Caenorhabditis elegans: one gene and its partner. The protein of the gene in region 2 purifies or fractionates together with the protein of the main gene of each other region. This does not show direct contact. Each region holds a gene or a part of one and is shown on either strand. Other genes may lie near its edges.

Region 1 (5,093 bases), on a different chromosome or scaffold from region 2:
ATCTACCAACCACTGCGTCTTTTGACTCCTTTTCCGGTGATCGATGACGTCGAACTTCAGGCGAACGTTGGCGATGATCCTGTGAACGTCTGACTGGTGAAATTGCTGAAGATCTGCGAATCGGCGACATATCTCTGCGTTGTGGATAATGAGCTGGATTTTGAAGACGGCGTCCGCCACCACCACTACCACCACGACCGCTAAATTGTGGTGTACGATGATCACGGAATGTTGGTCGACGATTGTCGTTCTGGTTCTGGAAAAAATGTTTATCGATTTTTACTTTATGCTTTTATTCTGGTAGGAAAGTTGAAAAACGCGCAAAAACTCTTGTTCAAAATTATCCTTTCCCCATTCTATTTAACTCACTCTGATACTGCTCATTTTGCAACTTCGATCCGTATATTCCGTTGAAATCGAGCACTGGAATATTTTCTGCAAGGTTATTTCTGTGAAATGGCAAAGTTCAACGAGGAAACGATATTAAAAAAAGAAATGTTAAACCGATAAACAAACGGTTGAAACACGAAAAAATACAATGACGTTGCAATTTGAATAAATGCATATTTAATACATTAACTATTAAAAACAAAGCAAATAAATATGTATAAATTTTCACAATATTTGAGAGGAAATTAGAGATCCAAAAATGGTAAAGAAACGATGGTATGAATACAAAACCGTCAAGGAAACAAGAAAAGAATGGAGAATAGTTTGGGAAAAATGATTTAAATGGGGAGAAGAAATGGTGGGGGGAAACGATGAGAATAACCAGTCAATACAACGCGTCAATGCAGAATATCGATTTGTGTGGAAATTATTGGGGAATCCAAATTGGTGCAAGTGGGGCCGCTTTCACATTTTCCAGATCAACGCGTTTGTCGAGTTCTTCATCGATTTCACCGATAATCGCTCTGAAAAATGATAGATTTTCAAAAAGAAACATTTGGAAAAATCTACAGTAGTTGCAGAATTGGTCTTTATATATATATACATCATAGCTTTAAAAGTTTAGTTTCAACTTTTGCAATGAAAAAGTGTTCCGATAATTTCTCCACCCCTCTCCAGAGGGAAACAGAACAGGTTCCGAACACTTTTTTCATGGAATCACATTTTCTTTGAACAAAGTTCGAACGGAATGAATTGAAAGGTGTGAAATTGTGAAAGTTTCGGACATTTGACGCATGTCTACATTAATCTTTTCCAGCTATATTACACTGACGAAAAGTGAGAAAAGATTTCATAAAATTGTGTTTTGAATGGGACATGAATAGGGCCAGAAGGGGTATCCTATCCAAAAATAAACTATTTCGAAATATGAGTATTTATCACTTGACATTTGGAGTGGAGTATAGAGAAGAGTGGTGTATCGGAAACGAAAAATCAATAAATATAATGAAACTAATCAGAAAACAATTAGGTATTGAACAGAGACTGGAAGAGCCAATTTAGAGACTTCAATAAAATAATCAATCGCATTCGCTCAACGAGGAGTTTTTTTTTTAAAGTTTTAGTTCGTTTGGAACTTAACTGAATATGTTTTAACTATAAGCGCTTTTCAGATAGAAACGACAAAGTAAAACTGAAAACTGAAAACCTAGTAAGCAAGTTGTGAAGCTCCGACATAGAATAGGAAAACGGATACTTTTTCAACATTTTTCCCATCGCGTTGTCCATTTTCGTATTCGTTCTCTCGTTCACTATAACTATTTCCCTCTTTCGTTGTTTTTTTTTGTTGCCGGCGAAAATGTGAAGAGTACAAACAAAATAAATTGCTGGTGCTGCTGCAAGGCTTCGGGCAATCATATTGGTCAAGCATCAAATTGTGATTGAGGGCGAGAAAATGCCGAACGATTGGAAGAGATGTTTTGACACGTCATGCTTCCCCGACTTTTCCGTGTTTCCGACCGTAACAGAGCACAAGAAACGACCAGTTGCTATGTTTTTAGACGGCTGCCGAAAGCTGAATGATCAAAGGAACAACAGAAGCACTTGATCTGGTTGTTATAGAACATCAGGTACCAGGACTACTTGCACCTTTCTTTTTTTTTTAAATGATGACTCAATGTTGACTGGCGAAGGTATGTCGACGGAACGTTATAGAAAATATTCAACTGGAAGAAATGAAGTAAAATCAATTTGATGTTTCTGAGATGATAACATTGACCCGTTTTGAAGTGAATTGAACGAGAAAATTCCATTCTCAGCACTGATAGTCAACGACCACAATTAAATCTTATCATCGCATGGGTGCAACATTATAAAAAACGGATGATTAATGTCATCGGAAAAGATTGAATCGAATAGAAAAAAAAACTCTTGATGATAATTGAAATTAGGTCGATCTGTTTTAACACAGAGAAACTATTCTAACGCGACAATTTAAAAAATCGATAATTCATTTGAAGCAATTGGTCCGTAGAGCACTCCAAAAGAAAGAACAGAAGAGAGAGACCGGGTGAAATAGAGAGTACATAATGACCAACGAGTTTTTAGATTCGAAAAGATTGAAGAATGGCGATAGAGCGAATTTGCAACAAGCAAGGCGATGTGAAGCTTTTTATAAGGTTTAATGGGGCGATGTGAAAAAAAAATCCAGATAAAATGCTCCAAATGTTCAACATTTGTACCCGGTCTTTTATTAAAAGTCCAACATCTCCTCTCAACAAGAGAAGACCATGGATTTTGAGCAATAAAAACTGTCTTGGTTTTTAACACTCTCGTACATGATCAAGAGCTTCTTTGCTGAAGCAGGCGGCTCCGCCACTACTCAATTGAAACAATTGGTCAGTTTTTCGATAATGTGCACGGAATGGAAGGAAAAGCATGCCGAGTCCAATGTTTTCGAGGGTTTGTTGATCGTTTGACCCACGGATTGGGTGGTACGGGAACTCGGAAGTAAAATTCATCGGAATAAATGAAGTAGATATTCAAGAAGAGACATTTCTAAACTCTTCATCAACAACTAATTTTAGTCGCAGAAAACCTATAAATTCCAAAAGCAGAGCACCGTGACAAGGTAAAATCGATTTTTAAATTATGTCCCGTCAATTTTCAACTTACACATTCTCTCCTCGAATAATATATAGTCCCAATGGTGTCGTGAGCACACCTTCCGTCTCAGAATACGACCTTTCGTGAGCATCTTCAATCACCAAGTTGATTAATTGATCGAATCCCTAAAATTGTATAATTGAATAAAATATTGAAATTTTAAAAGGTAACATAATTTAATTATTTAATCCGACACATAAGCTCAGTCTTTTTGAACAATTTCTTCAAAGTTGGGATTCAAAATCTCGTGTTTTATAATAATCAAGATGTGCTGCATTTTTGAAATTTCTTGACAAAGGCTCGAACCTTTGTCGCCAAGTGCAGAAGCAACATTTCTTTCTAGATATTTTACCTTCAGAAGTCCAACGATAACCCGACCATCACCAGTGACCACGTTCACCATCCGATTCATGTACGCATCTAGAGTTGAAGTCATATTTTATCTGAAAATTGACTTCTAAATATTGAAGTTTATTGTTCCCAAGTGAGATATTTTTCACGGCAACCCACCTGTTCGCATTCAATTCATGAAGCATAAAAATTTAATGATAATATAAGAACAACTAGTCCTCAAAAATTTCATTCTCAGCTTAATATCAACACAAATGTTTGACATGAATCTATCATACATTAAAAACGAATGTGACAACAAATAACATGTCAAACGAAGAGGCAGTTATTAGAATCGGTTGGGGGGGGGCTTTTGGGAGCGAATTTACGGGTGAGATTGGCAAAAAACGAAGGAGAAAAAGGGAGAAGCTTTTGTTGGGTGGCTGGGTGTTGTGAGATTAGACGAAGACGGGACACCTGACGATTCATCAGATACACTTCAATGAGATGAGGGAAATTAACAACTAACTGCACAATTCAATGTGAATATACTTGACAACTACAGTGAATTGCACAGTCTAATTGGTTACCAGTTCCTGAACAAAGGAAAAAGCACCATAACAACAACTAAAAGACAAAAATTGGGGGCGAAGCATACAGACTTTAGGGAAGAGAAGTAAAAATACAGTTTGTTTTCTGCCGCAGAATCGCTCAAAGAAAAAACGAGCGAAACAATTAAAACAACAAAAAATGACTGAAAAAACTGATGGAAATAAAGTACTTCTACACATCTAAAAAGGCGGGTGGATAAAGTATTATGTTCACAAGAACATCATCTAAAACAACAAAAGTATGTTATTATTATTCCTGGAGTTATTCAAATCAAAGATTACCAACGGAAAAAAGTTGAGAGTCGATGATAGTTTGGGTGAGAATCAGAGAAACAAAACAAACTGGTTCGATATAAAATTCAACCTCGGGAACAACACATCTCAGATCGTCATTGCCAAAAAAGGAATTAAAGAAAAACGCGCGTTAGAAATTTAGGGTCGATTTGTAACTGCTTTTGATTGAGTCTGGGCGTGAGGACAAAACAATTTGGACATTTTTTGAAAGATTAGGTAGGAAGGAAACAGGAATTCTGAAGAGGACTGTGATGGAGGCATTTCAGATGGTGATTGAGGTGATGTTCTGAAGGCACATTTAGAACTGTTGGGCTTGAGCAGTTTGTTGTTGTGGCTGCTGTTGGAAGCGTGGTTGGCCATTGTTGCCCTGTCTGGCTCCTTGAGCTTGTTGGTAATCGAATCCACTGTTATTTCCTGCAAAACCTGATAGAATAAGTATACTGATGCATTCCTTGTGGAATGAGTCACAAGACATGGAATCAAATAGTAACAAAACTAACTCTGGTATCCGCTTCCGTAACCTTGCGATGATCCGCTGTTGTTGTGATGTGCTGCACCTTGTTGGCCGTAATAACCGTTTCCGTACCAGTCTCCCCAAGCTGCTCCAGTAGCTCCGTATGGCATAGCTCCAATTTGTCCCCATCCAGCATACCATCCCGAGTTGTTATTTCCACCACGTCCACCATACATTCCGCGACCACCTGGCATACGCCCTTGGGCGCCTGGGAACCGTTTTCCTTGTGGAACTGCTTTTTTCACGTCACATTCGCGAGTTCCGAAGGTCTGTTTTGTCTGGGAAGATGC
Region 2 (3,485 bases):
ATTGCACTATCAGCCAGCGACACATGGCAAATAAAAAGTCGATTATTGCATTCCTGTATTGTGTAAGAACTAATACTCTTTATTCAAAATAAATTGTTTTAATCAAAGGAGAAATACGATATAAATATCATTTACAAATGTAACTTCGCATTCTTCCTCCAATTCATGAGGTGGCAAACTAGACTCAAATTAAATTAGTAGATCTTAAATAATTTATGAGCCACTATTTTTAGAGCCAGCTTGATCCGCGTTTTAGGCAAGTCATAAAACGATAAATGATCCCGTCTGCAGTATGAAAAATTCATGCTGGAAAGTATTGTATAAGACAAAGGAAATAAATAAAAAGTCGCTGAAACGGGGGAAAAAATTCAACTCTTATATTTTTGTGTTCTCTAGAACACTGCTCATGTATCACGAGATGAAAATTTGGAATGCTTTTCAATACATTTATGTATTGTTCTAATTGTGAGTTGTACCGTTTCACCCGGGAATGCAAATTGACATCACTTTTTGCTAACTTATTTTTTAACATATATTCATTTTTGGTCTGTACACAAAATTATACATGTTTCAAAAATTGTTTATTCGCAGAACAAGAATAATGTAAATGAATAATCCAGTAACTTGTTCTCCATCCATAGACCTATCCGGAAATATCAGCACTGAAACAAAAAAAAAATACTATGGAAATAACTTGAAAGTCCACATAATAACAGTGTGTAGTTTACTTTTTATAGATTCCTAAATCTAGCTAATATCTATATCTAGCTAATTCTAAATCAAGCTAATCCCCAACAACTCACTGCAAAGTGTAGACAAACCTCAAGGTTTGTAACACAATTTTACAATTTTTTTTGTTTTTTTCTTCAAGACAAAACAGTTTGCATATGTACAACTACTGTTTTCAACTGAATAAAACGCTAAGTTTACTTCAATCTTTTGAAATTCTCAGTAACAATCATAATTTTTAAATAGGCCCCCACTTACCACGCCAACTTTAAAACTTCAGATTTTTTCCCATCCATCGAACCATCTGCACCAATTAAACCAGCAGGAGGTGCAGCAAATCCAATTGGATATTTCGTGATCATCCATTTATCGCCATCACAAATGATTCCCAAAAGGTCAGTTATACTCTCACCATCGGTTCCCGTCAATTTTGAGGTGATTTGCTATAAATTGTTTCATACTTTTCCGATGAAAGATATTATCCTTTCACTCACAAATGATTGGGTTTCCGGCACTTCAGATGGCCGTGGTACTTCACTTTTATCAAAAGAAGAGAGTGCAAGAAACACTTGGTTATCGGGACAAGTTAACACTTCGCAGCCGTCTTTCTCAACGTGCTCCACGGGTGTGAGAGAGAAAACGATAATGGAGAGAGAAAATCGAAAATGGATAATGGACTTACTTTCAAACAACGATTCCAAATCTCCACACGGCGAAGTTTTGATGTCCAGGCATTCCTAAATACTTGATTTTTTTTAAAACTGATTTTTTAACAGATTTCCGAATGACAATTCTTTAAGAAAATTGGAATATTGGAAGCGCTTCCATAGCAGTTTAAATTCAGAAAAAAATCACATACATCAGGAGCCATGGTGACAGGAATATAGGCTTCATCCGGTGGAACTGTTCGCATGCAACTTTCTGTTATTACCATCAAGCATAACAGAAGGGAACATGACGTTACAGTATTCATAATAAAACGAGAAGTAGGGAGGAAAACTTTGATATAATGATTTTAACTACTAATCCATTCCTATTCCTATGCGTAAAGCATTAAAAGAAGTAATAAAAGCCCGAATAACACCTCGATAAAGCGGTCTTGGGTTTGGAAAAGGAATAAATTATGTCATAAAGACGGATGGGCTAATGAATACGAATCGACTTTCGAGAAGGGAATGGCGAAAGTAAAAAGAGCAAATTAGTCAATTTAGTCGAACTATGCATTCGTCAAAACTAGGCGTACATATTTGAAAATACTTATTAAGAAGTTAGTTCTAAAATAACATTTTTATGAAATCATTAAACTCACAGTTGATGGTGTGTTGGCAATACATTTGGCTTCCACGTGGCCAAACAAACACAGAGTCATAAACATGAAAAAGTACATTTTGAAGTACATCGCCCTTGTTCTTCTGGGATATTGGCAGAATTTTTATAGAAAGTGATTATCATTCCACAGTGGCCGGAAATTAGCATCCATTTTGCATCCATTTGCAGGTACATTATATGATAATTACACTGGTCTCTTAGAATTCTAACTGATAAGAGTTTAGAAAATTAAACCAGATAGTTCAGATATTTCAAGAAGTATATCAGTAGAAATAAGACATTATCCAGATAAAAACTTTGAACCGCCATAACGTTTTCGAGAAAGTCAGCCAAAAACCGTTCTTGACACGTCTAAATTAGATCCCTTTCAAGCTATTTCTTGCCCAAACTTGTCTGGTTTGTGTGATATTTTTATTATACATCCTCCTCAACTTCTTACGTCTTGAGTATCATTTCTCGGTCATATTCAACCCTTGGGGTGTCGATTATTGTATTCCGCGAATGTGTAAAAATCAATGCTATTTTTTTTTAAATCAAATCGTTTTATTCAAATGAGAAATACGATGTATCAATTGTTAATTCAATCCTCATCCAATTTACACTTGATCAGTGCTGAAACAATAAATACAACAAAAATGAGATAAGAGTTGTGAAACTAACTTAAAGACTTTCCAGTTTTAAACAAAAATTTTATTCTAATTGTTTTCGCGGTTAAAAAAAACCTTATTCTCACATCTAACTTGAAATTTTCCTAGAAACTTTAAAATTTATGACCCACCAATAGATCGTAGTCACTTTAGACTTCTTTCCGTTATACGATGCATCTGGGCCAGTATATGCCATGTTTCCATCTTTGACATACGCTATTCCATCAGGATAATTTGTGTATATTAATTCACCGCCTTCACACATTGCTCCAAAATATTCAAAAATCATGTCTCCGTTGATGTCGGCCATTGAATCTTTATTTATACTTCCCTAAAATAATTTTAAGCATTCAGATTGAAAAAGAGTTTACCTACAAACGTCATATAATCGGCATCAGCATCAATAGGCGCTGGTATTTCACTTTTATCATAAAGAGAAGAGACAGCTGGAGTTTTGCCTGCGGGACATTTTAATACAGTGCAGCCATCTTGGTCAACAGTTTGTACTTCGTCTAAAGTTGTAAAAATATCAAAACATTGAAAAAGTTAGTGATGATGCTCTAATTTAAAGGTGGAGTAGAGTTAAAAATTTTTTTTTGCTTTAAATGACAGAAAATGGACCCTAATAACCGAATATAACTGTAAAAAAATTTTAAAAAATTTTCTAAATTTTTTATGATTTTTTCAATTTTGAGAAAATCACAAATGAATGACGTCATTTTGGATATTGTCGCGTTTTCTGGCTAAATTCGTCGATTTTTCTCGATTTTTTCTCTATAT

The links.
Region 1: the proteins of F16G10.2 (region 2) and lsm-8 fractionate together in Caenorhabditis elegans (co-fractionation; one large-scale study listed by BioGRID). This does not show direct contact.

What each region holds. Positions count from the first base shown.
Region 1 is NC_003282.8:6,324,930-6,330,022, reverse strand, and holds lsm-8 (U6 snRNA-associated Sm-like protein LSm8), read right to left. Parts: upstream 3,498-5,093; 5' UTR 3,491-3,497; coding exon 3,407-3,490; intron 3,180-3,406; coding exon 3,064-3,179; intron 915-3,063; coding exon 818-914; 3' UTR 544-817; downstream 1-543. Other genes in the region: Protein seu-1, read right to left, coding at 11-256, 370-384; sqd-1 (RRM domain-containing protein), read right to left, coding at 4,588-4,712, 4,790-5,093.
Region 2 is NC_003280.10:2,373,490-2,376,974, reverse strand, and holds F16G10.2 (DUF281 domain-containing protein), read right to left. Parts: upstream 1,703-3,485; coding exon 1,589-1,702; intron 1,467-1,588; coding exon 1,224-1,466; intron 1,173-1,223; coding exon 988-1,172; intron 663-987; coding exon 644-662; 3' UTR 564-643; downstream 1-563. Other genes in the region: F16G10.3 (Lipoprotein), read right to left, coding at 2,655-2,670, 2,837-3,036, 3,081-3,217.